Ovis aries: one gene and its partners. The protein of the gene in region 4 interacts with the protein of the main gene of each other region in a pairwise test. Links are inferred from orthologs where the notes say so. Each region holds a gene or a part of one and is shown on either strand. Other genes may lie near its edges.

What was found.
Region 1: the proteins of GFAP (region 4) and NXF1 interact in a two-hybrid assay, tested with the Homo sapiens proteins (3 studies listed by BioGRID and IntAct). The two-hybrid records come from large-scale screens. The link is inferred for Ovis aries from reciprocal best matches to the Homo sapiens genes GFAP and NXF1.
Region 2: the proteins of GFAP (region 4) and CWF19L2 interact in binary tests that used the Homo sapiens proteins (3 or more experiments, as listed by UniProt). The link is inferred for Ovis aries from reciprocal best matches to the Homo sapiens genes GFAP and CWF19L2.
Region 3: the proteins of GFAP (region 4) and ZC2HC1C interact in binary tests that used the Homo sapiens proteins (3 or more experiments, as listed by UniProt). The link is inferred for Ovis aries from reciprocal best matches to the Homo sapiens genes GFAP and ZC2HC1C.

The regions. Positions count from the first base shown.
Region 1 is NC_056074.1:37,644,157-37,651,683, reverse strand, and holds the start of NXF1 (nuclear RNA export factor 1), read left to right. Parts: upstream 1-3,372; 5' UTR 3,373-3,485; coding exon 3,486-3,513; intron 3,514-6,994; coding exon 6,995-7,178; intron 7,179-7,390; coding exon 7,391-7,527. Other genes in the region: STX5 (syntaxin-5), read left to right, coding at 1,193-1,352.
Region 2 is NC_056068.1:15,694,928-15,702,535, reverse strand, and holds the start of CWF19L2 (CWF19-like protein 2), read right to left. Parts: upstream 4,156-7,608; 5' UTR 4,138-4,155; coding exon 4,045-4,137; intron 1,720-4,044; coding exon 1,609-1,719; intron 895-1,608; coding exon 775-894; intron 1-774.
Region 3 is NC_056060.1:84,394,600-84,402,050, reverse strand, and holds the start of ZC2HC1C (zinc finger C2HC domain-containing protein 1C), read right to left. Parts: upstream 4,156-7,451; 5' UTR 3,508-4,155; intron 3,263-3,507; 5' UTR 3,244-3,262; coding exon 1,915-3,243; intron 1-1,914. Other genes in the region: ACYP1 (acylphosphatase-1), read left to right, coding at 4,423-4,588.
Region 4 is NC_056064.1:44,352,751-44,359,511, forward strand, and holds part of GFAP (glial fibrillary acidic protein), read right to left. Parts: coding exon 6,752-6,761; intron 5,961-6,751; coding exon 5,799-5,960; intron 4,447-5,798; coding exon 4,321-4,446; intron 4,161-4,320; coding exon 3,940-4,160; intron 3,160-3,939; coding exon 3,116-3,159; intron 2,762-3,115; coding exon 2,642-2,761; intron 1,401-2,641; coding exon 1,315-1,400; intron 704-1,314; coding exon 662-703; 3' UTR 1-661.

The DNA.
Region 1 (7,527 bases), on a different chromosome or scaffold from region 4:
ATGACAAGTGCATCCACACTGAGAAATGTAATTATACCAAAAACTAGGGAACCTAATACTTTAGCCTCTCTGACATAAATAGGGAGTCATGTAGAATCCAGGCTTCTGCATTTGGACAGAGATTAGGTTGTCATTCTCCTGACCACCTTACCAGGAACTTGGGCTTGCAGCCAGTGGCCCAGCCTTTCCTCTCACTTTCTTCCTTGATTATCAGGCTCCACCAACTTTTCTGACCTCACAGCTCCTAAAGGTCCCTGCTTCCAGTGACTCCCTTTGCAAAGACCAGGGTTTATATTTGGTTTTTAGGATTGTATATGCAGATTAGCTGGGAAATGTTTGATTTTCCTCAGCAATGTCTCAAGTGATTGCCATTCTTCTGAGGGCTTCTCTATATCCTAAGAGACATGTTCTAATATAGGGCTTTTCTCATCCCTTGATGTTCTGTCCATATCATCAGGTTCTTCCTTTCTCACTTAGAATAAGGGTTTCCTGACCATGATTTTCTGTAACCTTTCCCCCCTTATTACAAATCAGTACTGTTTATTAGAGGCTTCCCAGGTGGCCCTAGTGGCCTGCCCATGCAGGAGACGCAAGAGACACAGGTTCAAGCCCTGGTTGGGGAGATCCCGTGGAGAGGGAAATGGCAACCAGCTCCAGTATTGCTACCTGGAAAATCCCCTGGACAGAGGAGACTGGCTGGCTTCAGTCCATGAGGTTGCAAAGAGTTGGACACAACTGACCACATATTGTTACTTAGACAAAAATTAGTAAATACCGATGAGCAAAAAGTTATGTAGACATTTTGGATTCTCTTAGTATGGGTTGGGCACTTTTATATAACTCGCTTAGGCCTGACAAGGAACCTAGGATTTATATTATCTCGTTTTTTCTTCCTTTGCAGTTGAGGGAAATGAGACTTGAGGTTAAATGAGTGGCTTAGGTTCATTAGCTAATAAGTTGCAGAGCCAAGAATTGTTATATTACCCTTCCAGAGCTTTTTCCTCTATGTGTTCATGCTGAATTACTTCAGTTGTGTCTGACTCTGTGGGACCCATGGACTATAGCCCGCCAGGCTCCTCTATCCAGGGGATTTTTTAGGCAAGAATATATACATACATAAAAAATAAAATTCAACAGCAGTCTTTTTAATCCAACATTCTTCTCTTTCCCCTCCTCCCGAACCTATCCTCAGGATCGACGAGAATGTGTTGGGAGCCCAGCTGGACGTGGAGGCCGCCCACTCAGAGATCCTCAAGTACTTCCAGTCGGTCACGTCCAACCGGTGGCTCATGGTCAAAATCTTCCTCATCCTCATTGTCTTCTTCATCATCTTCGTGGTCTTCCTTGCCTGAACCCTCTCCACTCTGAGGCACTCCATGGGGGTTTGGAACCCTTCTGGGAGGGCAGGTGGCCAGAGCTGCCACTGAGCCTGTGCAGGGTGCTTGGGAGAAGGGCCCTGTTTCCTTGGAACTGCTAAGAATGACCACTGCCCTCGGTCCCCCACTCCTTGCCTCTGGCCACCCAGCCCTCCCCTCACCACCCTCCAGCCCATGAAACACACACGGTTCTGGATTTGGACTCTGCTGTGAAGTGGCTGGAAAGGAGCAGAGGCCAACTGAGGGGCTCGTCCGGGAGATTGTCTCCACCAGGAGATTTTTATAAACCCTCCCCAGCCTGTCGCAAAGGGAACTTTGGCAGCAAGGGGAGATGATGCCTTTCCCCACCTTCCTGAGAGCAAGGAGAGGAAGTGAAACTGCCCCAGGGACCAACTTTCCCATCTGGGTTAGAATTTGACTTCTTCCTCTCCACGACATGAGGCAGGGGGCCCTGAGCCCCTCGGCGGCCTGCACAACCCCAACTTTGGCTGCAGGTGACTCTCAATCTGCCAAACGTGCTGCAGCCCGTTTTCTCCCAATTACAGCAAGACTGTCAGCCTCACTAGCCATGTCGTCATTTCTGGGTGGGAGCGCCGAAGAAGGGCCTAGGCAGAAATGGAGGGAGCCTGCTGCCCAGTATTACAACTGAAAGGGCTGGACTGATGACCCTGAGGGGCCAGGCTTTGGGCTCTGTATACACAGCTGCTTCCAGCAGGCCTAACCCAGTGCAGCAGTACTTAATTATCATGGAAAATTCCCTTCAAAGCAGGGTATACGATCCCAGAGTGGGTCTCTGATTAGTGGTAACTTCTAGGACCATCTCCAGAAGTATTTGGACCTGTTTCATCTGCATCTTCCAGTCCTACCGTTTTCCTTGGGCTGGATGAAGCAGGAGTTCTGCCTGCTGCCAGGAGTGAAAGGTGAAGAATTTGTTCCCAGCTCCAGCTGAGGCTCTTGGTCCCCTCTTGAAGCCCCTCACCAAATCCAAACCAGTCACAGGAGAATGAAGTAGAGATCTGCCTGGAATACCTACCCTACCCTGGAAGGTCAATATGCTTGTCAGTCCTGACCAGGACCCACAACCACATCATTCTGAGATCACTGGAGTACCCCAATTTCACACACCCCAAAGGAAGCTCAAGCTATAGTGACAACAGTCACACACTGGGCTGGCTGTAGTACCTTGGGGTTGGGGGCGGTAGTTATCTAGGAGAGCCCTGGCCTTTCTTAGCCCTGGCCTTTTAGTATTTGCTCTCCGTTTGACCTGTGTCCAGGGGGTGCTCTTGCTTGCATCTTAACTTTAGTTGACACACGATGTGGGTTTAAGCACAGCACATTGATGGTGGGTGGGGTGATCTGTGAAGATGATCAAAGCCTGACAAATGCAGTTTTTCTCATTTGACTCCACAACTATTGGGGGGGGGGGTGTTGCATAGATTGGAAATTTATTTCATAATATTTGCTGAGTTCCTGGTACATGCCAGGTATGGTACTGAGCCAGGTGCTGGGGAGAAAAAAAAAAAAGCCATGAATTAGTCAACTCCTTGCTCTCTTGGAGCTTACCTTCTAGTTTTCTATTTCATTTTATAGGCAAGGAAAGCAAGGCATAGATCTGTAGAAGGCAAAGGGCTGAGCTGAGACTTAAGCCCAGGCTGGATCCTCCTAGGGGTCTTGAAGCGGTCACTCCAAGGCACTGGTCTCCCATTCCTCAGAAGCCCTTCTTGTGGCCCTCCTTCCCTTTTTCTTTTTGAACCCTGGGGTGCAGTGGCCATCTCTGCTTCAGTGCCAACCTTGGAGGTGCTGCTTACCGGCCGACGATGAAAGCAGAGGGCAGGTGCGAGTACTAATCAGGGGGATCAGTAAACTAATCACTACTGGGCGGAGCGTCGGCCTCAAGCTCCGCCCCGGTGTCTCTGCTGGTCGAATGCGCACGCGCATCTCCCAGCGGCTCCGCCTATGATCGTGGGACGTCGACAGCGCGCGACACGGTCTCCTTATAAACGCGGTGGTAGCCGGCGTAGGAGCACTTCGACCTAGAGCGCCTGGGCATTCGGACGTTTGGCTAAGTGGCGGCCCGCGACGCAGCCCGCCCCTGCTTCTAGCTGTGCCATGGCGGACGAGGGGAAGTCATACAACGGTCAGTGCTGGTCCTTGGGCCGGGGAGAGGGGCGATCTGGAGCCCCGCTGGGCAGCGCCGGCCTAGGCCGCAGCGCCGGGGCGGGAGGCCGCGAGGGGCCGGGTGTCCGCGGGGAACGGCAGTGAGTGGCGCGGGCCCGGGGCGAGGCAGCCCGGGCCCTGGCTGAACTCGAGGGTGAGTGCCCGGCTCGTTGACCCCAGAATCCTGGCGCTGTGAGCACCTGCGGCTCGGAGCGGGTGGCTCGGCGGTGAGGTGACTGGATTCCTTTGAACTTTGTGGGTGGTGGATGCCTGTCAGTTCAGTTTGGCGGCTATAGTAATGTGAGTCAGTACCCTGTTCTTGGGCTGCCGGTGCCCTATTTTCTACCGTGCGTCCAGTCGGTCTTGCCCCCTCCCCCGCCGTCCGCAGCTTTAGCTTTAATATTCTAGACCTACACTTTAACTCACTGTTTTAGCCAGAACACTACAATGGGTTTAGATCCAGAGTAGTGGTTGTTGGCCATGCCGATCATATGTGAGTTAAACACTCAGGCCTGATTTTCCATCCCCTGAAGGAGGATAGAAACAGTACCTGTCTCCTGAGTTTGTCTCCATGTGTGTGTGTTTGTATTAAAACGAGATCGTGTGCGTCGAGCGCCTGACATCGGATAAACTTATTGATAAATGTTAACTGCACCTTCTAGTCGTCTATTTTTTCCCTAGGGTCGTTTCATGAGATTCAATGTTTGCAGAGTACTGGGCTTCCCTGGTGGCTCAGAGGGTAAAGTGTCTGCCTGCAATGCAGGAAACCCGGGTTCGATTCCTGGGTCGGGAAGATCCCCTGGAGAAGGAAATAGCAACCCACTCCAGTATTCTTGCCTGGAAAATCCCATGGATGGAGAAGCCTGGTAGGCTATAGTCCATGGGGTCGCAAAGAGTCGGACATGACTGAGCGACTTCACTTCACTTCACTTCATAGGGCTCTTTTTCAGAAGCCATTTCTACACACCACAGTTGAGAGGAACTCCAGAGTTTGAGAATAAAATTTATAAAAGAAACCATTAGATTGATCATACTTGTAGTTGATGTTTGTACTCAGTAGGCAAAAGGAGTATTGATTAAGTTAATGTAATCATTATGATTGGTTTACCTGGATATGAAAGAGGTCACTTGGGGTTAAGTTGATGTGGGTGGGCAGACAGCAGATTTCAGGTGACTTTTCGGAGAATGAGTTGTGTCCAGTTACCCTTGGGTCACTTCAACATTCACTTCAGAGTGGCAGTTTTTTAATATGGTTGATTTACAACATAATATTAGTTTTCAGGTATGACATGAAAGGGAACATAGTGATTCAGTATTATGATAGATTATACCCCATTAAAAGTTATTACAAAATAATGGCTGTCACCCCCCGTGCAATAATATATTATTGTTGCCTATCCATTTTATACTTAGTAGTTGCTGCTGCTGCTGCTGCTGCTAAGTCGCTTCAGTCGTGTCCAACTCTGTGCGACCCCATAGACGGCAGCCCACCAGGCTCCCCCGTCCCTGGGATTCTCCAGGCAAGAACACTGGAGTGGGTTGCCATTTCCTTCTCCAATGCATGAAAGGGAAAGTGAAATCTCTCAGTCGTGTCCAACCTTCAGCGACCCCATGGACTGCAGCCTTCCAGGCTCCTCCGTCCATGGGATTTTCCAGGCAAGAGTACTGGAGTGGGGTGGCATTAGTAGTTGGTATCTCTTAATCCCATAACCTTATCTTGCCCCTCCTGCTTTCCCTCTCCCACTGATAACCAGGAGTTTGTTATCTATATCTGTGAGTCTGTTTCTGTTTTGCTAAATATATTCGTTTTAGTTTTTACATATGTGATATCAGACAGTATTTGTCTTTTTCCGACTTACTTTACTAAGTATAATAACCTCCATGTCCATTCATGTTGTTGTAGTGGCAAGATTTCATTCTTTTTTTATGGCTGAGTAGTATTCCGTTGTGTGTGTGTGTATACCACATCTTTATCCATTAGTCCCTTGATGTTCATTTGGATTGCTTCCATATCTTTCCCTCTGTAAACAGTGTTGCTGTGAACAATGAGATGCAGGTATCTTTTTTTTTTTAATTGACCTGAAAACAAGTGAAGCTCATATGTATTCTTCCCTTTTTCTTAGTTTTGATGCTTTAAAGAAAAATCTTTATATTGGAGTATAGTTGATTTACAGCAGAGTGATTCAGTTATACATGTATCTGTTGTTTTTCAGATTATTTTCTCAGGGAGGTTATTACAGTACTGGGTAGAGTTCCCTGTGCTATATACAGTGGGTCCTTGTTGATTATCTGTTTCAGATAATAGTAGTGTGCAGATGTTAATCCCCACTTCCTCATTTAGGCATGCATCTTTTTAAATTAGTACTTTTTTTCTTTTTTCTGGATATATAATTGGAGTGAATTTGCAGGATCATATGGTAGTTCGAATTTCAGTGTTTTGAGGTGAGAACAAGACTTAAAAGAAGCCTTTCAATTGGTCGTAGTTGTAACTGACATTTGTGCTTTATAGGCAAAAGAAGTATTGTTTACTGAAAGCTGATGTAATCATTGTGATTGACTTTTCAAGATGTGATCAAATTTTGAGTAGGGGTAGTCTTAGAGAGTGAACTTATGGTTACCAGGGAGAGGTGGGTAGGGAAGGGACAGATTGGGAGTTTGGGATGGACGAGTACACACTGCTATATTCACAATGAATAACCAACAAGGACCTACTGTATAGCACAAGGAGTGCTGCTCATATTCCATTAACAGTCTATTTGGGAAAAGAATTTTAAAAAGAATAGATACATGTATAGGTAAAACTGAATCACTTTCTTGTACACCTGAAACTAACACATTATTAATCAGCTATACTCCAGTGTAAAATAAAAAGTTAAGATTTTTTTGAGTGGGGTTAAGTAGATTTGGGAGGGTGAGAAAAGCAGACCTCAGGTGACTCTCGGGAGTCTGAGTTGTATCCAGTTGCACTTGAGACACTCACTTCCACATTCTGCTTCTCCTTTCTCTAGTTCCAGTTTCTGCTTCACTTTTCTCAAAAGACTTCCCATAGTTTTCCAGTCACTGAGGTTGCCACCCCACCAAGAGGGTTCTTTCCCTGCACAGGCAGAGGAGTTTGCACAGAGGTGGCCTCCGTGGTGACTGTGTATCTCCTCTGATGGTGCAGGGTGCTGGATAGTGCGATTGCCAGGCAAGATAGCTGAAGCAGTGGTGTCTTCTCTTCTTTTTAAAGTATTCGAATATGTATTTGGCTGCGCCAGGTCTTAGTTGCAGCACACAGGATCTTTTTTTTTTTTTAATTGTGGCATTCGAACTCTTAGTCAAGGCATGTGGAATCCAGTTCCCTGACCACGGGTCAGACTCCGGGCCCTCTGCGTTAGGAATGGGGAGTCTTAGCCACTGGACCACCAGTGAAGTCCCTCCAGTGATGTATCTTCTAATTTTTGTTTTGTTTCCAAACCCAGAGCACGATGATCGAGTTAGTTTCCCTCAAAGAAGAAAGAAAGGCCGGGGCCCTTTCCGGTGGAAGTCCGGCGAGGGGAACCGGAGGTCCGGAAGAGGGGGCTCCAGCGTTCGGTCCTCCCGCCTGGAGGACGACGACAGAGACGTGGCGATGAGCGATGTCCAGGATGCTCCCCGAGTACGATAGTAAGTAACCAGTTGGTCTGGTTTGAGTTCAGCGGCCCCCTCATTTATGTGGCCCTCTTACTGCGCATGTCATTTCTCTTCCAGCTGGAAGGGAGAAATGCCAGGACCAGCTTACTGGCAGCTGATAGTTGTGGTCCTGATAACAGTGCAGGAAGATCTTTGAGAAGGCATTCCTAACCTTTGTGAATGTTCTATTCTCTCCTTCCCCACAGCACCCCCTATGCTGCACGACCCAACCGTCGGGGTGATAACTGGAATGAGCGGACTCGGATTCATGTTACTCTGCCCCTGCGGAGGGATCGGGGTGCTGCAGAGAGGGGAGGGGCTGGCACCAGCCAGGACGGGTCAT
Region 2 (7,608 bases), on a different chromosome or scaffold from region 4:
GAAACTACAAGAGGGCCAGACTGGACTGACTTTTTGGAGTCCAGTCTGGCCTTCTTATGAAGACTCAACTGTATAATCCTCTGAAGATCATACCTAGGAGTGCAATTATCACTAAACACCTCCAACTCATCTCATTAAGCACCACGTACTTTTCTCTTCCTGAAAATAACCATGAGGGTTTGCCTTGCTTTCCTTTGTTCTGTGAGTCCTCTCATCCAAAACCTGGCTAGAGACACAACAGATCCAGCACTCTCTTCCTTTCTGTCCCAAAGATAAATACACAAACACAACCCATTTTAAACACTTAATTGTTAATGCCTATGAAAAACAAACTGAGGTAACAAACAAACAAAGTCTTGGTACTCTTTGCCTTATTTTATGGTACAATTTTTACTCCCCTTTCACTCTTTCCTGTTTCTCCTAATTTTCCAAATGCTTCTGCCTAAAATCCTTTACTTGCTGTCTGGCTTCTCAGTATTGGTATTCTTCCTTCTTTTCAATTTCCCAAGGCAATTCATCCATGCTAATGGCTTTAAACAGCAATGATTCTCCAACCACATCTCCATCCTCTAGCCCTTATCTACAACCTAAGGTCCATATTTCTACCATTTCCTGTACACCTCCAAGTAGATGACTCCCAAGCATTTTCTTGGGCGTGTATCTTAACTAGTAATATTTCCTAAGTTCTCATAAGTATTTTAGGTCCCAGTATGTTGCTTCTTTAGATACAATATTCTCAAGTAGCTTCTTTGGTTAGTTTTAGCACATACTTACTGATGAACTGTCGGTTGACTCATTTTTTTCACACTTTCGTTTCTTGCTCTTTTTTTTCTTCTCTTTCTTTACTTTTTTTGAATGCTTGTCTTTTTTCTTCTTTTTCTTCACACAGTCTTCCTATAAATAATCATTTTGAAGAGGCAAGAATTTAGTTTTAGCTTACTTTAAAAAGTAAGTATTTTGAGGAAAAGATCTATGTCCTAAAACACTTTAAATCTTTCATGAAAGGAGACAAGGAATATGATTAAATAAATAGCTTCTTCTAAAAAATTTTGACATGCTTCTATAATATATGCACTACTAATAAACCATATAGCTAAAATTTCTTGGAAAAATATAAGGAGTTTTAATTTATTTGTAAATACATTGACAGACAGATATAATCAAACATATATATGAAAACACAGTGTATATGTATCTCCTTCAACGGGCCCAAGAGAATTTATAGATTACGAACCATATAAAATCTAACAAGACAGCATAAACTGTGGAAAGAGAAAGCAAGAATTGAGACATCCCCCTTAAAAAAAAAAGCATCACATTAAGTTTAAAATACATAACATTTTAGATCCATAAACTTACCACAAGTGGACTGGAAACTTGGATCTAAGCTTTCTACCAGCCAACTCAACTAATACAATCTTTCCAATATCATGTCCAAAATATCAATATATACTACTCTAGCCAGAAAGACAAATATTCAGTACTGTCAACTATGTGATATTCATTCTTTAACTTGTGAAAAAGAGTTTATAAACTTGCTCCTCCAGTATTAACTTGAATAAGTGCAAAAAAAAAAAGCTTACACCAAGTAAGCCTAATAGTATTTACCTGTGAGATTTGTTCAACTCTCTTAATCACATCAGGTAGCATCCATGTTTCCTCACCCCGAAGTCGTTTCAGTTCTTTACGCCTTTCTTCCTTTTCAAAATTGGCTTTAGCCTAAAACCGTGAAAAAAGAAAAATTAACAACTGACCCACCTACTTCTCACCAAAAAAGCAAAACAGAAACCTCCCCCACTTTCGTGCAAGGCTCACCACAAATTTGCTTCTATCAAAGTGTGTGTGCATGCATACTAAGACACTTCAGTTGTGACAGACTCTTTGCAACCCCATGGACTGTAGCCTGTCAGGCTCCTCTGTCCATGGGATTCTCCTCTCAAGAATACTGGAGCGGACTGTCATGCCCTCCTCCAGAGCATCTCCCCAAACCTCGGGACTGAATCCGCGTCTCTTACGTCTCCTGCACTGGCAGGTGGGTTCTTTACCACTAACACCACCTGGGAAGCCCCTACCAAAGTGTAAGAAAGATTAAAAACAACAAATTCTCCTTCCACATTACCAATTGCATTACCAATTAGCAATCACTAGTGAAAGGAACCGGACTTCCCTAGTAGCTCAGGTAGTAAAGAATCCGCCTGCAATGGGGAAGACCTGGATTCAATCCCTCAGTTTGGAAGATCCCCTGAAGGAGGGTGTGGCAATCCACTCCAGTATTCCTGCCTGGAGAACCTCATGGACAGAGGAGCCGGGTGGACTACAGACCACAGGGTCACAAACAGTCAGACAGGACTGCATGAGGAAGCACAGCACAGTACAGTGAAATGAGCCACCAATCAAGGACAGAATCTTGGGACCTACTGCAGACCTCTTCCTGTCCCCTAAGCTCCCTACTTTAAAAATGACTTGAATTTCTTTTCCCTTCGCTATTCCACTGACAGCGCCTGATACTTCTGTAACTGTTAGGAGACTGACCTCCATACCCTCAATCTGCAATGTCCATAACCCTCTACCCACACCCTCAAAATGCTTCAGAAAGAATCACCTTTCTAAAAACAAATGATCATATTGATAAGTTTTTATCATTCAAAAACAGTCAAACTAAGTAACAGCTTCCTAAGAAGTTGTTCCTGCCTTTTCATTCTCTCCCCAAATTTCAAAGCTAGGATTGGTCCTTCTCAAAATTCTGTACATAGATATACTATAAAATTTATCATAGTTTACAAATCCACTCCCTCCAAAAACTCCCTCTGAAATATCAGAGACAAGGATGAAGGATATTTATTATACACATATATTACATATGTTGAAATCAGGGACCACCAATCTTTCACCTCTGTAAGACTTATTGCCCTTTTCTTCCCCTGTAAAATCTGACTGCAGTCATTATAACTTCTCCTTCCTATCTCCTACACCGGTTCCTTATTTGCATTTAATGGAGAAGGAAATGGCAACCCACTCCAGTACTCTTGCCTGGAATATCCCATGAACGGAGGAGCCTGGTAGGCTGCCGTCCATGGGGTAGCGAAGAGTCGGACACGACTGAGCGACTTCACTTTCACTTTTCACTTTCATGCACTGGAGAAGGAAATGGCAATCCACTCCAGTGTTCTTGCCTGGAGAATCCCAGGGACAGGGCAGCCTGGTGGGCTGCCGTCTGTGGGGTCGCACAGAGTCGGACACGACTGAAGCGACTTAACAGCAGCAGCAGCATTTAAATGTGTTTTAAACGGTTATAGCTTAAAACAGATAAAATAATGATCATCACTTGTTTCACCTTACACTGTTCTCTAACTACAACTTTTCCCCTTCACACTTCTTTTCCCCTGCCACACTTCTCACATCTTCTGAGCTAAGTCAATAGTACAGTTTACTTCCTCCCTTCCTTATTTTACTTCTACTCATTTCAATCTTAATGAAAAACACGTTTCTCAACTTTTTTCGAGGAGCTAAATTTTTTAGATCTCTGTCTCAGTCGCTGTTTGGTTCAGTACGGGTTTGCAATAAGCCGGATAACTGACACAAATAACTTAAAAGGAGAATGAAACGATCTACTCTAACGTGCCTTACACGAGTTTCTGAAAACGGAAAATTTCATTTCAGATATAACAAGACGGAGGACCTAGGCTGTAAGATATGCAGGGAAAGTAGTGGGGTCCCTCGAAAGTGCGCAGCACAGGTGATCAGGTGCTAGAAATGTCAAGCACGGATGCTTTAAAAGATAAGGAACGTCAGAGGAAAGGAACAAGTTTTCTGGAAAAGAATATGAGCAACTGGAGCCTTCCAGACCATCTAAGAGGCAGAAGATACCAACAGTGTGCGAGCATCCCAAAGGAAAACATCTATCCCCACACAACTAGATACGGTAAGATACTGAGGAACTGAAACAGGAAAAGGTGCAGGGAGGCAGGAGAGCTAGACGCCTGACTCCCAGAAAGCCTCCACTCTCAAATCTAAATGACTCCCAAAGCCTCAAAACTGAGGTACCTGGCGCAACACCTCGGTCCTGGCACTTCGAATCTGTTCTTTACGCTCTTCGATGCTACTCGCACTTTCAAATCTACCCCCGGCAGCCGCCATAGTTGTTGTCGTAAAGCTAGGAAGCCGGCACAAAAATCTCGGTTTACGACTGTCGTAATTTAGTAAACAAACCGGGACTTCCGACTAGGGGGAGGAGGGAATCTGCGCCACCAAAAGAGCATGCGCAAACCGTTGCTTATTATTTCGGTAAATTGTCTACCCCTTAGGTTTGGAAGAAACCGAAGGTTAAGTCAAGGGGTTACACTCCTTCGTGTATTGGGGTTGCCCTGAACAAGACTTGTGTCAGCGTACATGTATTACGCAGTTTGCACGGGACTGACGGCATGTCACAGCTGAAGTGGAGTCGCTCAGTCGTGTCCGACTCAGCGACCCCATGGACTGTAGCCTACCACACTCGTGGGATTTTCCAGGCAAGAGTACTGGAGTGGGTTGCCATTTCCTTTTCCAGGGGATTTTCCCGACCCAGGGATCGAATCCGGGTCTCCCGCATTGACGCTATGCGACCCCATAGATGGCAGCCCACCATGTTCCGCCTTCCCTGGGATTCTCCAGGCAAGAACACTGGAGTGGGTTGCCATTTCCTTAGATTAAAGGTACATGTTGTAAAGATTTCTACCAAAGTGCCCTTATCGCCAAAGAGGTTTCCCTGTGCTGGAGGAATGGACTAAAGGAAGGCTGGCCAGAAAGACAGTGCAAGCTAGCAGGAGAGAAGACTTGCTTTGAAGAGTGAGCAGTTTGCTTTGGTGGATTTTTTTTTTTTTTTTAAGCACAGTATATGAAAAAGTCATGTGAATTTCGCATTGCACTTCATAATTTATACTTGTTTAAAGTGTAACATTTTTTCTGACCTCATACTGTTTGTTCATACTGTCTCAGTAACAAGTGAAAAAAAAAGAGGAATGGGTATTTTTCTTCCCTTTCCAGAGAATAAAGAAGATAAAAGAGAACAGCGAGCAGGCCTGAATATTTCTAGTTGTTCTTTTTTTGTTTTTGTTTACTTTAAAAACTCCTAACTTTGAACGTAACTAAATTTGCTCTTCTGCCCCTTAACTGTACAGGAGCTACACTTCACACCTATTTTCCTTTGACTGTGTTAAATACATCTACTATCTGGTGTGAAGGAGAAGGGGGCATCAAAGGATAAGAAGGCTGGATGGCATCACCAATGCAATAGACAAGAACTTGGGCATGGGAGATGGTGAGGGATAGGGAGGCCTGGCATGCTGCAATCCATGGGGTCTAAGAGAATAGAACGTGACTGGGTGATTGAACAGCAACATCTGGTGTTTCAGTTCAGTTCAGTTCAGTTGCTCAGTCGTGCCCAACTCTTTGCGACCCCATGAATCGCAGCATGCCAGGCCTCCCTGCCCATCACCATCTCCCGGAGTTCACTCAGACTCAGGTCCATCGAGTCCGTGATGCCATCCAGCCATCTCATCCTCTGTTGTCCCCTTCTCCTGCCCCCAATCCCTCCCAGCATCAGAGTCTTTTCCAATGAGTCAACTCTTCGCATGAGGTGGCCAAAGTACTGGAGCTTCAGCTTTAGCATCATTCCTTCCAAAGAAGTCCCAGGGTTGATCTCCTTCAGAATGGACTGGTTGGATCTCCTTGCAGTCCAAGGGACCCTCAAGCAAGAGTCTTCTCCAACACCACAGTTCAAATGCATCAATTCTTCAGTGCTCAGCCTTCTTCACAGTCCAACTCTCACATCCATACATGACCACAGGAAAAACCATAGCCTTGACTAGGCGGACCTTAGTCGGCAAAGTAATGTCTCTGCTTTTGAATATGCTATCTAGGTTGGTCATAAGTTTTCTTCCAAGGAGTAAGCATCTTTTAATCTCATGGCTGCAGTCACCATCTGCAGTGATTTTGGAGCCCAAAAAAATAAAGTCTGACACTGTTTCCACTGTTTCCCCATCTATTTCCCATGAAGTGATGGGACCAGATGCCATGATCTTCGTTTTCTGAATGTTGAGCTTACCCTTACAATATCCTTCCCCTTATAGTTACATATCAGAAAGAAGGCTGCAGAGCCACCCAACTGCCAGACTCAATTGCTGGATTACACCAGCCTATGGCTGAAACAATGCAGGGAGAAGAAATCTAGATTCTAACACCATTTCCTTTAGGATGGACTGGTTGGATCTCTTGCAGTCCAAGGGACTCTCAAGAGTCTTCTCCAACAACACAGTTCAAAAGCATCATTTCTTTAGGTCTCAGCTTTCTTTACAGTCCAACATTCACATCCATACATGACAACTGGAAAAACTATAGCTTTGACTAGACAAACTTTGGTGGTAATGTCTCTGCTTTTTAATATGCTATCTAGGTTGGTCATAACTTTTCTTCCAAAGAGTGAGCATCTTTTAATTCCACGGCTACAGAGACCATATGCAGTGAATTTGGAGCCCCCCAAAATAAAGTCTCTCATTGTTTCCCCATCTATTTGCCATGAAGTGATGGGACTGGATGCTATGATCTTAGTTTTCTGAATGTTGAATTTGAAGCCAACTTTTTCACTCTCCTCTTTCAGTTTCATCAAAAGCCTCTTTAGTTCTTTGATTTCTGCCATAAGGGTGGCATCATCTGCACCAAAGAGGCAGCTGGGGAAAGTCAATAAATAAGATTTTGGTGAAGGAGAGTTCAATGCAATCAAGTTCTTACTGCAAGAGGTATTCTGCTAGTCACAAGGATCTGATGTTATTAAGAAACGATTTAGTGCTTTTCTAGATATGAGGAGATGCAAGGATTAGGATCATGAAATCAGTTCCTGAAAATATCCAACTGTCTAAAGACTGGATGCAAGAGGAGAAGGGGATAACAGAGGGTGAGATGGTTGGATAGCATCACCAACTTAATGAACGTGAGTTTCAGCAAGCTCTAGGAGATGTGAAGGACAGGGATGCCTGGCGTGCTGCAGTCCATGGGGCACAGAGTCAGACACAACTGAGCGACTTAACAACAACAATCTAAAGACCTGTCGCACCAGATTCCCTGAAGCACAAAGTGCCTTATTCCACCCTGAACTCGCTCTAGGGGTGTTGAAGGTCAACAGCTGCGGTAGCACAGGGCTCAGTCTCTGCAGAGGCAGATGGTAAATGCCCTTGTTGTTCAGTCAGAGGCAATGCTTTTGGCTAGTGCCAATTTGTAGTTGACAGGTAAGCGCCAACTTGTAATTGACAACATAAACTATATTGAGGTATGTTGACTAAAGAGTTATTCACAACCTAAAAGTCAAGAGTTACGTTTTATTGAACGGAAACTTTTAGGATTTCAAGGCTGGGAGACAGTATCCCAAGTAACCCTGAAAAACTGCTCTGAGGAGGCAAGCAGAATAGTCAGGATATACAGAAGTTTTGCGACAAATGGCAAACATCAAAAGATGATTAGTTAAAGAAAACAAGATATGTCAAGTTAAGGAATTTAGCACTTTTCTATGTATGGAAAGATCCAAAAGTCTAGGCTCCTGAAATTGTTTCTTTGATATGCATCTCATCTTATGTTTCT
Region 3 (7,451 bases), on a different chromosome or scaffold from region 4:
CAGGAATCTGTGATCATATCATTATCTGCAAGAGCAAAATGTTGACTTCTCATTGGCAACAGGATTTCAGGGAGATCATCGATAAACATAGAAACCACTTGCTTGTAGTCACTTCCCATACTAAAAGAAATAACTCTAACTGCAAAAAACATCTCTTAACAGCCATCACATAAATACACACATAAACTATGAAGTGCTAATGGACAAGAAATGCTAGCGCAGCAGTGGGGAGGGTTGGAAGGAAATGAAAATAAAATAATGCTTTCATAGTTTAGAGACAGGGCTTTGAGATCATGTGGTCTAGGCTTTCCCACATTTTGGTTATTTGCATACCACTTTCACCTTATCCTCCTTACTATTTTTCTTTAAAGTCAATATTCCTAGAAATCAAGGGCTTATTATGGTTTACTTTCCTAATACACATTAAAATTACTAAAATAAAAAGTGTTTGTCAGCATGCCATACTTTGAGAAACACTTATTTACAATCCCGGTGGTATAACCTTGACAAGGTATAACCAGACAATCTTCTCCCGATCTGACTGTCCAAATGTGCTTATGAAGTTCTCCCAAACATATGGAACTGTCTTGAAGTCACTTTTTACAACCTAGTTTTTCTGCAGCTAGGAATGTTCACCAAAAATAAAGTCCTCTATCCCAGAAGAAAAAATCACTCCTAGGCATATATCTGAAGAAAACCATAATTCAAAAAGATACACACACCCCGATGTTCACAGCAGTACTACTTAGAATAGCCAAGACATGGAAGCAACCTAAATGTCCAGCAACAGAGGGGTGGATAAAGATGCGGTCCATATACACAATGGAATATTGCTCAGCCATAAAAAAAAGAATAAAATAATGCCATCTGTAGCAATATGGATGGACCTAGAGACTGTCATACTGAACAAAGAGAAAGTCACATATCATATGATACCACTTATATGTGGAAAAAAATTTTTTTAATGGTACAAATGTGCTTGTTTGCAGAACAGAAATAAGAGTCACAGATGTAGGGAACATCTGTGGTTGCCAAGGAGGAGTTGGGGGGGGGTATAAATTGGAAGATTGAGATTGAGATATACAGACTACTATATATAAAATAGATAACTAATAAGGACCTGCTGAATAGCACAGGGAACTCAATACTCTGCAATGACCTATATGGGGAAAGAATCTAAAAAAGAGTTATATATGTATAGATATAGAGATATCTATACCTATATATGACTGATTCACTTTGCTGTAAACCTGAAACTAACACAACATTGTAAATCAACTATACTCCAATAAAAATTATTAAAAAAATAAAGTCCTCCACCTTTAAGTTGTTTACGCTCTAAATGGGGAGAAAAAGAATTCCAAACTTAATCGTGCGTTTCATCTATTTACTAAGAAGGTATATCAAAATTAGCCAAACTGGAAAAATTAGAGTTCCAGGAGTGGTAACAAGTCCTAATTTGGGGTGATGGTAGAATATATTATAAAGAATGAGGAATTTTGTCAGGGTAGTGAAATGCTTCATGATATATATATATTTCATTCTCTTAAATTTTCTACTGTAAGTGTTTATTACTTATACAATCAAAACAACATATTTTTAAAGTCTAGATTTTGGAGTCATTCTGACCCAGATTTATATGCTGCCATTTAAAACTGTTTGTGATCTTAAGCAGCTTAACCTGAGACTTGATTATTGAACTGATAAGATAATGAAATCTTCACAGGGCTGTAGTGAGGAACATATGAAAACCTCCCATCACTGTGACTGGCACACAGTAGTAATCAATAAATCAAATGTGAATTCGTTCTCCCTGTAAGACACATGAAATCTTTCTAAAGAAAACAGATGAGGACATAACAGGCTCTTAAAAGTGATCCCCACTCAATGGCAAATCCATAAGGCCCTTGTTACCTTGACTGAAGCTGGACCCTTCCAGTTCAAGTACTGCTCTAGTTCTGTGCCCTTGGCCCGGGCCCTAGAGGAGTCAAACACTTTCCTCTTGGAACCCTGCATCCTGCGGCAGATGCTGGAGTGTCTCTCCAGCCTGAGCAAGAGAAACTTTCGGCCGCAGTGGCTGCACTCGCCCAGTTCTGGCTCTTCAGTGGAACAGCTGGAGCCTGAGGAGTCTGGTGCCCTGGATGAGCTAGAATTGCGGGTGTATCTCTGCAAAGCGCTCAGCGGTGCTTCTGTAGCTTGAGAAAACTTCTGCTTCAATGGCCTTGAGACTCGGTCTCGGATTTTGTTATTGCTTGCCACCAGTCTTTCCCTTTTGAGCTTCTGAATTCTATAATTAGAGAACTGGAATGGACTAGAATTCTCTCGAGATTGTCCCCAAGTTTCATCTTCTCCTGTGTCTCTGTTGAAGACCTCCTCAGACCTGAGTGCTGGAGAGAAGATAGGTTTGTATGCGGTGATGCTATTATCTTTAACTCTCCTCTGGGAGAGCACCATTCTCTGAAGCTCTCTTTTTTCATTTTCCTCAGCCTGTTCTTTTCCCTTCTGGATCCTTCTGAGTTCCTCCTCCGTCTTCTTCAGCTTTTCCCTCAGAAGAGTCTCTTTTCTGCGGATTTCCTCCCCTAAGCTCTCCCCTGCAGCTTCTAGTCTTTGGATTTGCATCCACTCCGTCCTGTTGGCATTTGCCATGACCCTTTCCTCCTGAGTGGCAGCAACTGGACCAACCATCGATGAATTCACCCAGTTCCTCGAACCAAAGCTACTGTACGAATACTTTCTGGGCTCAGGGATTCTTGGAGAGGCGTTCCGGTCTCCATCAGTGCCAGCCTCACCTGTACTATGGGACTTCCGATGAAACACAGGTTTCAGAGGGTATGCTCGGTCAACCCCCACTCGCTTCTTTGTCAAGGGGATGAATTCTTGGTCATTTGTTTTGGGATACCGGGACTGAGGGTCTGATGTGTAAAACAAACCCTTGGCTTGGCCCTGGGGATTGTTCCTTGAATCCTGCTGGCTCATTCCAGCACAGTGAGGATACGAACAGCTCTGGGCTTTTGTGCAGGTGTTCCACTTGGGGTGAGTGTAGAGATTATCCAGCATCAGTTCTTGGTTACTCAAAAGCTTCTGCTGGAAATTGTTCCTCGGGTGCCCTGTAGAGGACTGCTGGGAAGAGTCACCTTTTCCATAGGGGTCTTGCTTAGCTGAATGGAGCTCTGGAGCATCCCTTTTATTATGTGGGAGCATAACGCCCATAGGCAGAGGCAACGCCAACTGGAGACCAGCCATTCAGAGCCTGGACTGAAGCCTAGGGGAGATTTAAACCAGACACATGTGAGGAGTTTGTCTGAGGTTTACCTCCACTGTTAAAGTATAACTGTTTCTACATCTGCCTACCCACAATTCCCCTTAGACTTTTTAGGGACGCTGGTGCTGGGTCCACCAGAGCTTTCATTCAATAAGCATTTGGTGAATGCTTACTGTGTTCTGTGGGTGCTTATTAGGTTCTGAGGATAGAAAAAGGAGTGTGATACAGGTGTTCCTGCCACCTACCTTTCCTTTGTATCACTACCAGCCTCTGCCATACACAGTGACGCTTCCTCATACACAATAATACACTCCACAGCAGATGGAAAGAGCTATTGGATTGAAAGTCAGTTTTTAGGCCTGTGACACAGGACAAGCAGCTTCCCCTCGCTGGGGATTCGCCCAGAGTTACAGGACTGGAATTGAGGGGCCGTTGGACTGTGAGTTCAGCCCCATCATTTTATAGGCGAGAAAACTGCAGCCCATTGGTAAGTGACCGGCACAAAAACTCTCGGGGCTTCCCTCCTGCTGGAACCGTGCTTGATCCTAAAGAGCACAGAGCCGGCTCAGGGCATACAGCAGGTGCCTGGCTGCCAAACCCTCACGCAAGGACCACTCGATCCGGCCACCGCGGGTTTAGATCGGAACGCGGAAGTTGCGTTCTGTCCTGGAGGGTCACCCGGGACGTCCCCGACTTGTGACTCCGCTTCGGAGACAAGGCCTCGGCTCTTCAGTCCGTCGGCCCTTGGGAGATCGATGCGCTGACCCCATGCCTTCCCGCCCTTCCGCGTACCTGAGGCTCTTTTGGAGGCGGCTCCCGCTTAGGGGAAGCCACAGGACTCAAGCTTCCTCACCACACGCCCTCCAGCAGCCGCCGGCCGCGCAGGCGCTCTCAGAGGGCAGCTGTTATTCCCGTTGCCTGGAGACGGGGGCACGTGCGCGCGCCCACCCCCGCCCCGCCGCGAATTCCGCGGGGCGTGCGCAAGCGCAGTCCGCTCACCCGGGGCCGCCGGGGCCGCGGGCGCGGTCCAGCAGGGTCACTAGACTCGGTGTCCCGCCAACTCTGCAGCTCAGTCCAGCCCTGCCCTTGGGGAACGTGGGTAGGGGGTGGGAGAGGCTCTTCTGGGGCTCCATCAAAGAGCTTGTACTTTTCTCAGAGCGATGCTCTCCGATCCTGGGGTGTGCCCTTCTCTGGCAAAAAAAGGAGCGCCTAGATGCGCCCTCAGGTCATTCTGCCGCAAGATTCCGGTGTCGGCCCTCCTCTTAGCGGGAGTGGGCCTGCTGATCGCCTTTCTCGGCACGCTCGGCTGCTTGGTACCGGCCCCAGGTACGGCTGTCGACTCTGTCCATGCTTTTCCTCGCACATAGTTTGGAGCTTGCGTCAGATTTTAGCAACTCCGCTAGCTTTTGCTAGGCAGTCTCTTCCTGGGGAGGTTTTTGTAGCCAATCTCATTATTTTGATATAATGTTTTCCTTTCATGTGGTAACTCTGGCCCTGTCTTCTTAGGGCCCAAGAATGACTCAGACAAGTGTAATGATAATGAAGTTAACCACCAGATCCAAAATACTCAGTATAACCTGATTTCAACCCTAAAGATATCCCATAACTTGTTAACATCAGAAGAGAGTTTATTTGTCTTCATACTTCAGTTCATTTGTGCAAGCTGTTTGAAACAGGCAGCTTACTCTTTTTCCCTTGTAACTACTTACTTAAAAAGATTCATGCCCATGGAAAATAATATAGACAGCAGTGGTCGGTGTTACTACTTCAACATGTCATATTGCAGCTTTTACGTGTTATAAAGAAATTCCTTGGCGGTGCTCCAAAGCAGTCTTTTGATGCCTTGTTTTCCCTTCTACTTGTCTCTCAAGTGCCCTCTCTGTGTATGCATTTCCAGAGGTTTGTCACTCTTTTCAAGGTCCCAATTATCTCAGCATGGGGCTTGCCTGTCATCAACTCCCAAAGCTCCCCTCTAGCCTAGCAGAATTTCCCAGGGTGCCTCCTTCCATCTTGACTCCTTTCCATCTTGTTTCTGAGGAAAAAAAATCTTTGTCTTTCCTTGAGTTCTCTTGACTTAGTCCCTTTCAGTACCTTCCAGGAATTGACTCACCATACCCATCCATCTTGCTAACTTCAAGTTGTATCCATCCACACACTCTGGTTTTAAAATATGCTTAGCTTTGCCTTACAAAAAAAAACAAACAAACAAACTTCCTTTCCCTTGACCTCACCTCTCACCTTAGGGTCCCAGTCCTTTCTCCTCTTCTCAGAAAGATTTCTTAATAGAAAGCTTTACATTAGCAGCCCTCACTTCTTTGACTCTCCCTCATTGTCCAGTCCATTGTGGTCTGGTTTCCCCGTCTCTGCTTTGAACTGGCCAGTCTACCAGTGACCTTCCAATGACCCTAAAGACAAAAGCTGCTATTTCTTCAACCTACTCTTTGACATTATTGATTTTTTTCTCTCCGTTGGAACTCTCTTCTCACTTGCTTCTCTGTGCCTTCTTGGTTTCTTTTTTCATGTCCTTGTTCCATCTTCTTTCATATTCTTGCATTTATGTCTTTTCCTCACTTGCCTCCCAAATGTAGTTGTTCTCCAAAGCCCGCTTATTTCTCATATAAATGCAGTTTCAGACATTCTCTTCCTTAATGATTTCAACCAAATGCTGGAATTTCAGTTCTCACCTATGTTTCAGTGGCATCTAGCTTAGTTCTCCCCCTTAGTAACAGACTCAAGTTTCCAAATGCCCACGTAGCACATGCACGTGAATGTTCCTCAGGTATCTCAAAGTCAATAAGACAGAAAACACAGTTGTGATTACCTCCCTATTTCCCAAGCCACTTCTCCAGTGTTCCCTCTCATGCTGAAACCTCAGTCTTCTTCCACTCCCCCCTATTTGTCACCCCTTCTAACGGGTCAGCAGGCTCTGTTGAATTTATTCTGCAGTGTCTCATATATGTCCCTTCCTTTTCATTTCTCCTACCCTAGGTGAGTTTCTTCTTCACTCCTCACTGGGACGGCACCACTCTCCTAACTGCTATACATCTGCTTCTTTTGGCTGTTCTGAGTCTTCATTGTGGTGTGTAGGAGCTTCTCTAGTTATTATGTGTGTTTTAGTTTCCTGACTGGGGATTGAATGTGCATTGAAAGGTTAACCAGTGGACCCCCGGGAAAGTCCCTATCCTAAATCCTAAATACACCTGAACCTGTCATTCTCCTACCCAATCGCTTCTTCTTTACCTACAGGATAAAGCTGAAACATGCCTTGCCTCCCCAGAGTCAACCCTAGCTGTGTTTTAGGGCTACCTGGAAAGCAGTTTTTCTGGAGGTTAAGGCCTGGGTATCAATCTTGTGTAAACTTTCCCCCAAAGTCCTAATGTACAGCCAGGGTTGATATATACCCAGTAGTATATCAGTAGTATATACTCAGTAATATACACTCAGGGTCCAGCCACATCTGACTACTCATACTCTCTTACCTCAGTGGCCTTCCTCCAACTCCATGTGCTGGAAAGTAGTAGAACATAGCATTCAGTACAGAGTAGGCTCTGTACTCAGACTGCTTGGAACTAAATCCCAGCTCATCACTTACTCTTTGTGGTTATGTAACCTTGGGTAATATGCCGTTTCCTCCAAGAACGCTTTCCCAGTCTTGCCAGCCAGAAGGAATCGCTCTGCTCCTTTGTGCTCTCATAATATTTTTTGGTCACAGGGCTGGCTCGTGATGAACTCTCAATGGATGTTCATGGAACTTGCATGTTGTGCATTGCATCGTCATCATTTGCATGCATATTTGTCCCTTATGTGAAATAAAAAAGCTCTTTAAGGACAAAGATTATATACCATCCATCTTTGTATATCCCACTGTGTATACATGTAGGTACTGAATAGTTTGATGCTACAGAGAAACTAGGTTTCTTTAAAATAAATTTTAAAGAAATAACATCAGCTAGTTACTCTGTTCAGCATTATTTTCAAATATTGCCTAGCATGACAATTCAATCCAGTTTCCAACCTCACTGCCACCCCCATACCAGCACTGAGGTCATATGACTCTCCAGGATCTGGACCCTCACTTTGTAGTGGGGAACTAATGGAATAATGAATCTCCATGGCCTGCAAATCCATCTCACCTTGCCAAGTGTGCCAACCTGGCATACATATGGAGTCTTAAATGGAGGGATGTAAG
Region 4 (6,761 bases):
CAAGCTCCCACGGGCCCACGGCATGCCCACGTGGCAGCTCAGTGGGGCTGAGACACTCGACACATTGCTCAGGAGGCCCCTCTGCAATCTGAGCAGGCCAGGAATTCTGTCTGCTGACTCTCCCAGTTGGCAGGATAGCCCCACCCACCCTCAGACTGGTCAGAGTCAGTCTAGAAGAATAAGCCTCTGGCCAAGGCCACCTTGCCTTGGGGACTTCCTCTGCTTGTCTCAGACTCTCAGTTTTCCTCCAGCAGCCCAAAGGCCCCATTCCCAGATACCCCCAGATACCTCCAGCTCTGGCAACAGTTGCCATGACAACAGAGGTTCGCGATACAGAGGGCAGGGTGATTTATGAGGTCTCCCCGCTTTCTCTCCTCCCTCCCAATTCTAACCCAAGCTGCTGGCCGTGCCCCTCCAGGCTGCCCTTTGGGGTGAGTGCCCTGTTAGTGTTGCTGGGTGTGGGGTGGGTGCTGTCTGACAGGCTTAATGCTGATGGAGCCTAGGGTGGCAAGCTGGCATAGAGATGGAGCAGGAAGAGGAGCAACTGGATTGGGTGGGAACTCAATTCTGGGGAAATTAACTAGCAGAGAAGAGACAGCTACCCCGACTCCTGCTGCAGACGCCTCAAACGGTGGGGCAGTGACCGCCAGATGGGTCCTGCTCACATCACATCCTTGTGCTCCTGCTTGGACTCCTTAATGACCTGAAGGGGACAGAGAAGGTGCCATAGTTAGGAGCTCACACAGACTCCAGGTCCACCATGGCTAGGCAATGTGACCTGGGACAAGTTCCCAGCCTTTCAACTTTTCTATGATAGTAACCAGAATGCCGCCACGCAGCAGAGGGGGAAACGAGCTAATCCTGTCAAACATCTGGCAAACATCTGCCTGGCACATGCTGAGCTGCTGTTGTAAGATTAGCTAATTCTGCTGGTACGGTGGGGAGGGGATATGCCCAATCTCCTCTTCCCATTCTTCTGCCAGGTCCCTTTCACCAAGCTGAAAGTTGAACGTTGGGAGTGAAAGTTACTAAATTTAATTTTCATTCTGTCTCCCCCAGGCCTGCTGTGGGGGCACCTGAGTCTGAGGGTGAGAAAGGGAGAAAGAAAGCCAGAGTCAGGACCCTGACCTGTGGCCTAAGCATCTAGGCTCCCCTTAGTGTAGGGACTGGGGAATGGAATTATATCTGGGCTCCTTCCCCTCTTCCAGAGCCTCCCAGAGGAACTCTTGGGAGTTATGGAGAACCTTCTATATGCCAGTCCAGGCTTTCTCCCAGAGCCTGCTGGGGCCAGAATCTTGGGCCTGCCCTCCTCACCTCTCCATCCCGCATCTCCACGGTCTTCACCACAATGTTCCTCTTGAGGTGGCCTTCTGACACGGACTTGGTGTCCAGGCTGGTTTCTGCAGACATGAGGAGAGGAGGCCTCCATAGGCTCTCAGGGCCCTAGACATCCTCTCCCACCCTTGGTTTCCCCCTGAGACCCCTAATCGTGAGTACAAAAGCCTATCCAACCAGAGAAGTCCTAGGCTCTCCCAGAGGGGCTGGCAACCTCCTAAGTCCCCACAGTGCCAAGCAAGCCCTCACTTCCCTGCTTGCTGTCCTGGCCTGGCTGCATTTCAGCCCCTCTGCAGTTCCTCACTTGGCCCCTGGCTCCCTGACAACCCAGTATCACACCAAGGAAAGAGCATGTGGTTACTGAAGTCAGGCAGGCCAGAGCTCGAGTCCCAGCTCAGCCACATGACTGTGGGTAAGTTAATTTACCTCTTCCAACCTCAGTGTCCTCATCTGCAAAATGGGGATACTGCTGCCTACTTCTCTAGGTCGAAGTAGTGAGTTAACTGAAACAATGTGTGTAAAACAATGGGCACGTATTCATGTTCCGTACACATGGGTCCCTCTCCCGTCCCTCTTCCCTTTTCCTGCCTCTCTCTGCCACTTCTCTAGGACCCTTTTCTGTCTGGCATGTGGCAGTATTGCCTCTACCTGGTCTGCTGGTTAACTCTTCTGATACTGAACTAAGCCCTCGGACATGCATAGCTAGTGTTCCTAAATTTCTAGTCCAGAAGAATTATTTTTTCCCTCAGCTGAGAATTATTTGAGGGCCACATACAAGTAAGAAGCAATTTATTCCCCCCTGCAGAGAGAAAAATGTAACATGTCACACTCACTAATGTTTAATATTAAGAGCAGGGGACATAAAACTTTATTCACTCCAAGAGCAGCAGTCTAGAGGGAAATAATCCTCTGGGCTGAATCAGCCCTGAGCTGAACAACCGAGCCTCGGGGACAGAGGAATCAGGCCAAGAGCCTGGCTGCCAGGCACCGTGAGACTCTAGGGGCCCTCCTGGTGATGGGGAAGAGGTGAGGCAGAAGCTGGTGTTTGCTCAGAGGCCCAGAGCATCTGAGCTGAGTACCCGAGGACTTAGCACCTTGAACACTGGCCAACTCTACTACTTTAATGTACATTTACCCTGTGCCAGGTCCTGGACTGGGCGCTGAGATTGCTGGGGAAATGACACAGGGTTGGCCCTTTAGGGAAACCTGGGAGGAGGGAGCTCAAGAAGATGGGGAAAGTGGGCTTGGTGAGCTTGCTCCCTATTAAGGTGAAAAAAGCACCATGTCTAAAAGGCAGGCAGCTAACCGAGAGCCGGCGGGGCTCCATCTACAACCTGGTGAGCCTGAATTGGTATAACTTGTATTGTGAGGCTTTTGAGATGTCTTGTGACCTTGTGACTTTCCCCTTCTTTGGTGCTTTTGCCCCCTGTAGTGACAAGCAGTTAAAAAAAAACACACAAACATCAAACACTCAGCTGGACAGGGATCTGCAGACAGGTGAGAGGTTAAGACCCTCACTCAGTTCTGCAGTGGAATGGGGAGTAGGCATGGGAGGAGGGACAAAGGGCAGAGCAGGACAGGAGTGGCTGCAAGCCCCACCTGGAATGCTCTGGAATGGTGTGTTCTGGCTGGAAGTTCTGCCATGAATATTGAAGGTCCCCACAGAGAGCACTGGGCCCCTCTGCCCTGGTCCTCGGGCTCAGACCAGAAGAGCAACCCACAGGCCTGGGGAAGGGGGCGGGAATCCAACACTCTGCCCACAAAACCCTGTTCTACTGACCTCGGATCTGCAGGTTGGAGAAGGTCTGAACAGGAATGGTGATGCTGAAAGACAGCAGAAGGAGAGGGGTGACCAGCCTGCCAGAGGACACTCCCAGGCCAGATCCTGGTCCAAGGTCACCATAATAGCTTCGAGGCCCTCTTCCTTGCCAGGAAAGGCGGACCTCCATCTCTTAGCTTCTCCAGCAGCCAACACACTCCCCGCGCTGTAAGAGCTCTGGGGGAACACCTCCACTCAAAAGAGAGTGAGTGCTCTGAGGATGACAGAGGGGAGGGGAGAGCAGTGAAGAGAGTTCCCAGGAGGCAGAGGAGATTGGTCAGCAGAAAAGAAGTCCAGTCTTTGTTGGGAGGGTGGGGAGTGAGCCTTTTAGTTTGGAAGATAACCCAAGTCCTTACCCTAGGATCTGATCAACATGGGCTGAATTGAATCCATCCATTCATTCATCAGGCATTTATGAATACCAACTGTGTGTTAGGTGAGCACTGTGCTGGGCGCTGGGATAGGAGGGGGCTGGTCACGAGGCTGAATAAGACAGTCCCTGATGGGGCTTCCCAGATGGCGCAGTGGTAAAGAACACACCTGCCAAAGCAGGAGACACAAAGAGACGTGGGTTCTATCCCTGGGTCGGGAAGACCCGCTGGAGAAGGAAATGGCAACTCACTCCAGTATTCTTGCCTGGGAAATCCCATGGATATAGGAGCCTGACGGGCTACCATCTATGGGAGTCGCAAAGAGTTGGACATGTCCGAGCACACATGTATTCGTGAAGGGAGCAAGGCGACTCTGGGGCGGGGCAGTAGGGCAGGCGGCCGGTCTGGGCTCACCGGTTCTCCTCGCCCTCCAGCAGCTTCCTGTAGGTGGCGATCTCGATGTCCAGGGCCAGTTTGACGTTGAGCAGATCCTGGTATTCCTGCAGGTGGCGCGCCATCTCGTCCTTGAGGCTCTGCCCCTCTTCCTCCAGCCGGGCCAGCGCCTCCTGGTAACTCGCCGCCTCCCGCGCGTGGCGCTCCTCTTGCTCGCGCATCTGCCGCTCCAGGGACTCGTTCTGTGGGTGGAGCCGGACCGTTCCCCGAGGCCCCGCCCCAAGAAACTTTTCAGAGCTCCGCCCCGAGCCAGTCCTTCAGCGTCTGCTAGGGCTGTAGGTCCCAGGTTCCCGGCTCGCTCACCCGTACCCCTCCTCCGCCTGCGGCCCCGCCCCTGCTCACCGTGCCGCGCAAGGACTCCAGGTCGCAGGTCAAGGCCTGCAGCTGCCGTCGGTAGTCGTTGGCCTCATGCTTGGCCTGGCGGAGCAGCTCCGCGTTGCGGGCGGCGGCGTCGTTCAGGTCCGCGAACTAGATGAGGAGAGGGCTTTATGCTGGAAGGCGGTCTGGGGCCGCATATCGCGGGAGCTTAGTGGGCTCGGGGGGTTGGTACGCGGTCTGGAGGATCAGGGAGATGGGCCGGACGGTACGGCTGTTTTCCAGCCCACCCCACGCCACTGGCACTGGGTGGGATTATTCACAGTCACCCGTGGCCCATGGACACAGACACAGACGACATTGCTACTTCTCTAGCATCTAGCTCAGTGCCTGATGAGGGAACGCGTGAATGAGCAGAGGGTGTCACAGAGCCCAGACTCTCCAGTAGCTCCATCCTCGGGACTGAATCCTGTCCTCCTAGGTCACACACAGGGAGCTCTGGTGAGCAGAGACCAGGTTCTAATAACCCTCTCTCCTTCAGCCTGCTCTGAATCCCTCATGGTTCCATCACGCCTTAACCTGCTCAGAACCATCCCTGACTTCTGCCACTTACACTCCTCAGCTCCATGCCCTGGGCCAGGATCTCCGGGCCCCCACTTTTCTGTGCTTTATGGCCTCTACTCAGGCTGTGTCCTGCATGCCCTTCCTGAATGCCCTTTCTCTCTTCTCTGTATGTTCGTAGGCTGCCAGTCCCGCCTGGCCCCACTGCCCTCCCATGAAATCTGTCCTGCTTCCGCGTTGCGTGTAAACCCTGCCCTGCTGCGTTCTTCACAGACATCAAGCTGAGTGACATCACATCCCCCTGGTCAGACGTGTCTCTGTATGCAGGGCAGAGCCTGGCATGCAGCAGATACTCAGTAACCCAGGATGCAGATGGCAGAAGCATCAAGAATGTGGGCTTGGGACTTCCCTGGCAGTCCAGTGGTGAAGGCTCCACCCTTCCAATGGGCGAGGCGTGGGTTTGATCCCTGGTCAAGGAACTAACATCCCACATGCTTAGAGGCATGACCAAGAAAGCCCCCCAGATAAACAGTTAAAAAAAAAGATAAGAATACAGGCTCTTAAGTGAGACAGCTAGGGTTAGAAATCCAGCTCTATTGCTTAGGAGCTGTGTGAATTTGGCCAAATTGGTTAACCTCTCTGGACTTCAGTTCTGTCATCTATCAAAGGACAGTACCTACTTCATGGTAAGATAATCCTTGCAAAGCCCAGGGCCTAAAACACAAGAGTGTTGGCTAGTAGTCAATCGCAACAGATACTAATAAGTACTTATTGGAAGTAATAGTGCCTGTATGACCCTGGGCAAGTCACCTCACTTCTTTGGTGAAGGTCAGTCACTCAGAGAGGATCCTCTCTCAGCTTCCTCCACCCTCCTTCCCTGATTCTTTTGTATGGAGCCAGGAGGGCTGCCTGGAGAAGGCAGGCTGCCCCAAAGTCAGGGCTACCTTGGACCGGTACCACTCCTCCGCCTCTTGCATGTTGCTGGACGCCACTGCCTCATACTGTGTGCGGATCTCTCTCAGAGCCGCTGTGAGATCAGGCTTGGCCACATCCATCTCCACGTGGACCTGCTGCTGGGCCAGCTGCTCCTGTAGCTCCCGCACCTCCTGGCCAGGGTGAGAGAAGGGTTGCCAGGCCTCAGGGACCAGCTGCAACTGGGGCTTCCCCCTAGCATCATGCCCTCTTCCTTGGACACGGATGTTGGCTAGGGGAGATGGGATGCTCCTAGTTGGAGGAAATGGCGTTGTCCAGGATAAGGGAAGAAGCAGGTTAGTTTGGGGGCCCCGGGATGTCCTCCTCCCAGGCCCGGAAGTCAGGAGCACTGGAAGCATGTCTGTGTTCTCATGAAAGAACGTCTGAGTCCTGGGGTGTGGGTGTCCCTATGGGTTCCTGGGTTCCCTGAGTCCATGGATTCTGAATCTATTATCTGAAGTCAGAGCTCAGCGGGGTCTTTTTTTTTTTTTTTTTTTTTAATGTATGGCTGTCATTTCAATGGAAACAGATGGCAGAGGGAGTGAAGTCATAGAGACCAACTATGTGACCTTAGCACATTCTTTAGCCTTTCTGGGCTTCAGGGTTCTCCTCTGTGAAAAGGAGATAACACTGGAACCATCCCTATCTCACAGGGCTGTAGTGAAAAAGAATGAGGCAACAGGGCCCACTTTAAGTGGAGGGTGTGTCTGGGTGCATTCTACTAGGGGCTGGAGGTGCTCTCTTATCTGTCTCTAGCTCTGCCTCCCTCAGTCTTTCTCTGCCTCTCTTTCTCTGTCTCTCTCTCATTTTCTTTCTCTGTCAGTGTGTCCCTTTCTCTCTCTGAATATCTGTCTCTGTCTCCCCATCTCTTTCCCTCAGTTCCAGTCTCTGTGTTGGCCTTTTTTCCCCTCCTTCCCGATCTTACCTCCTCATGG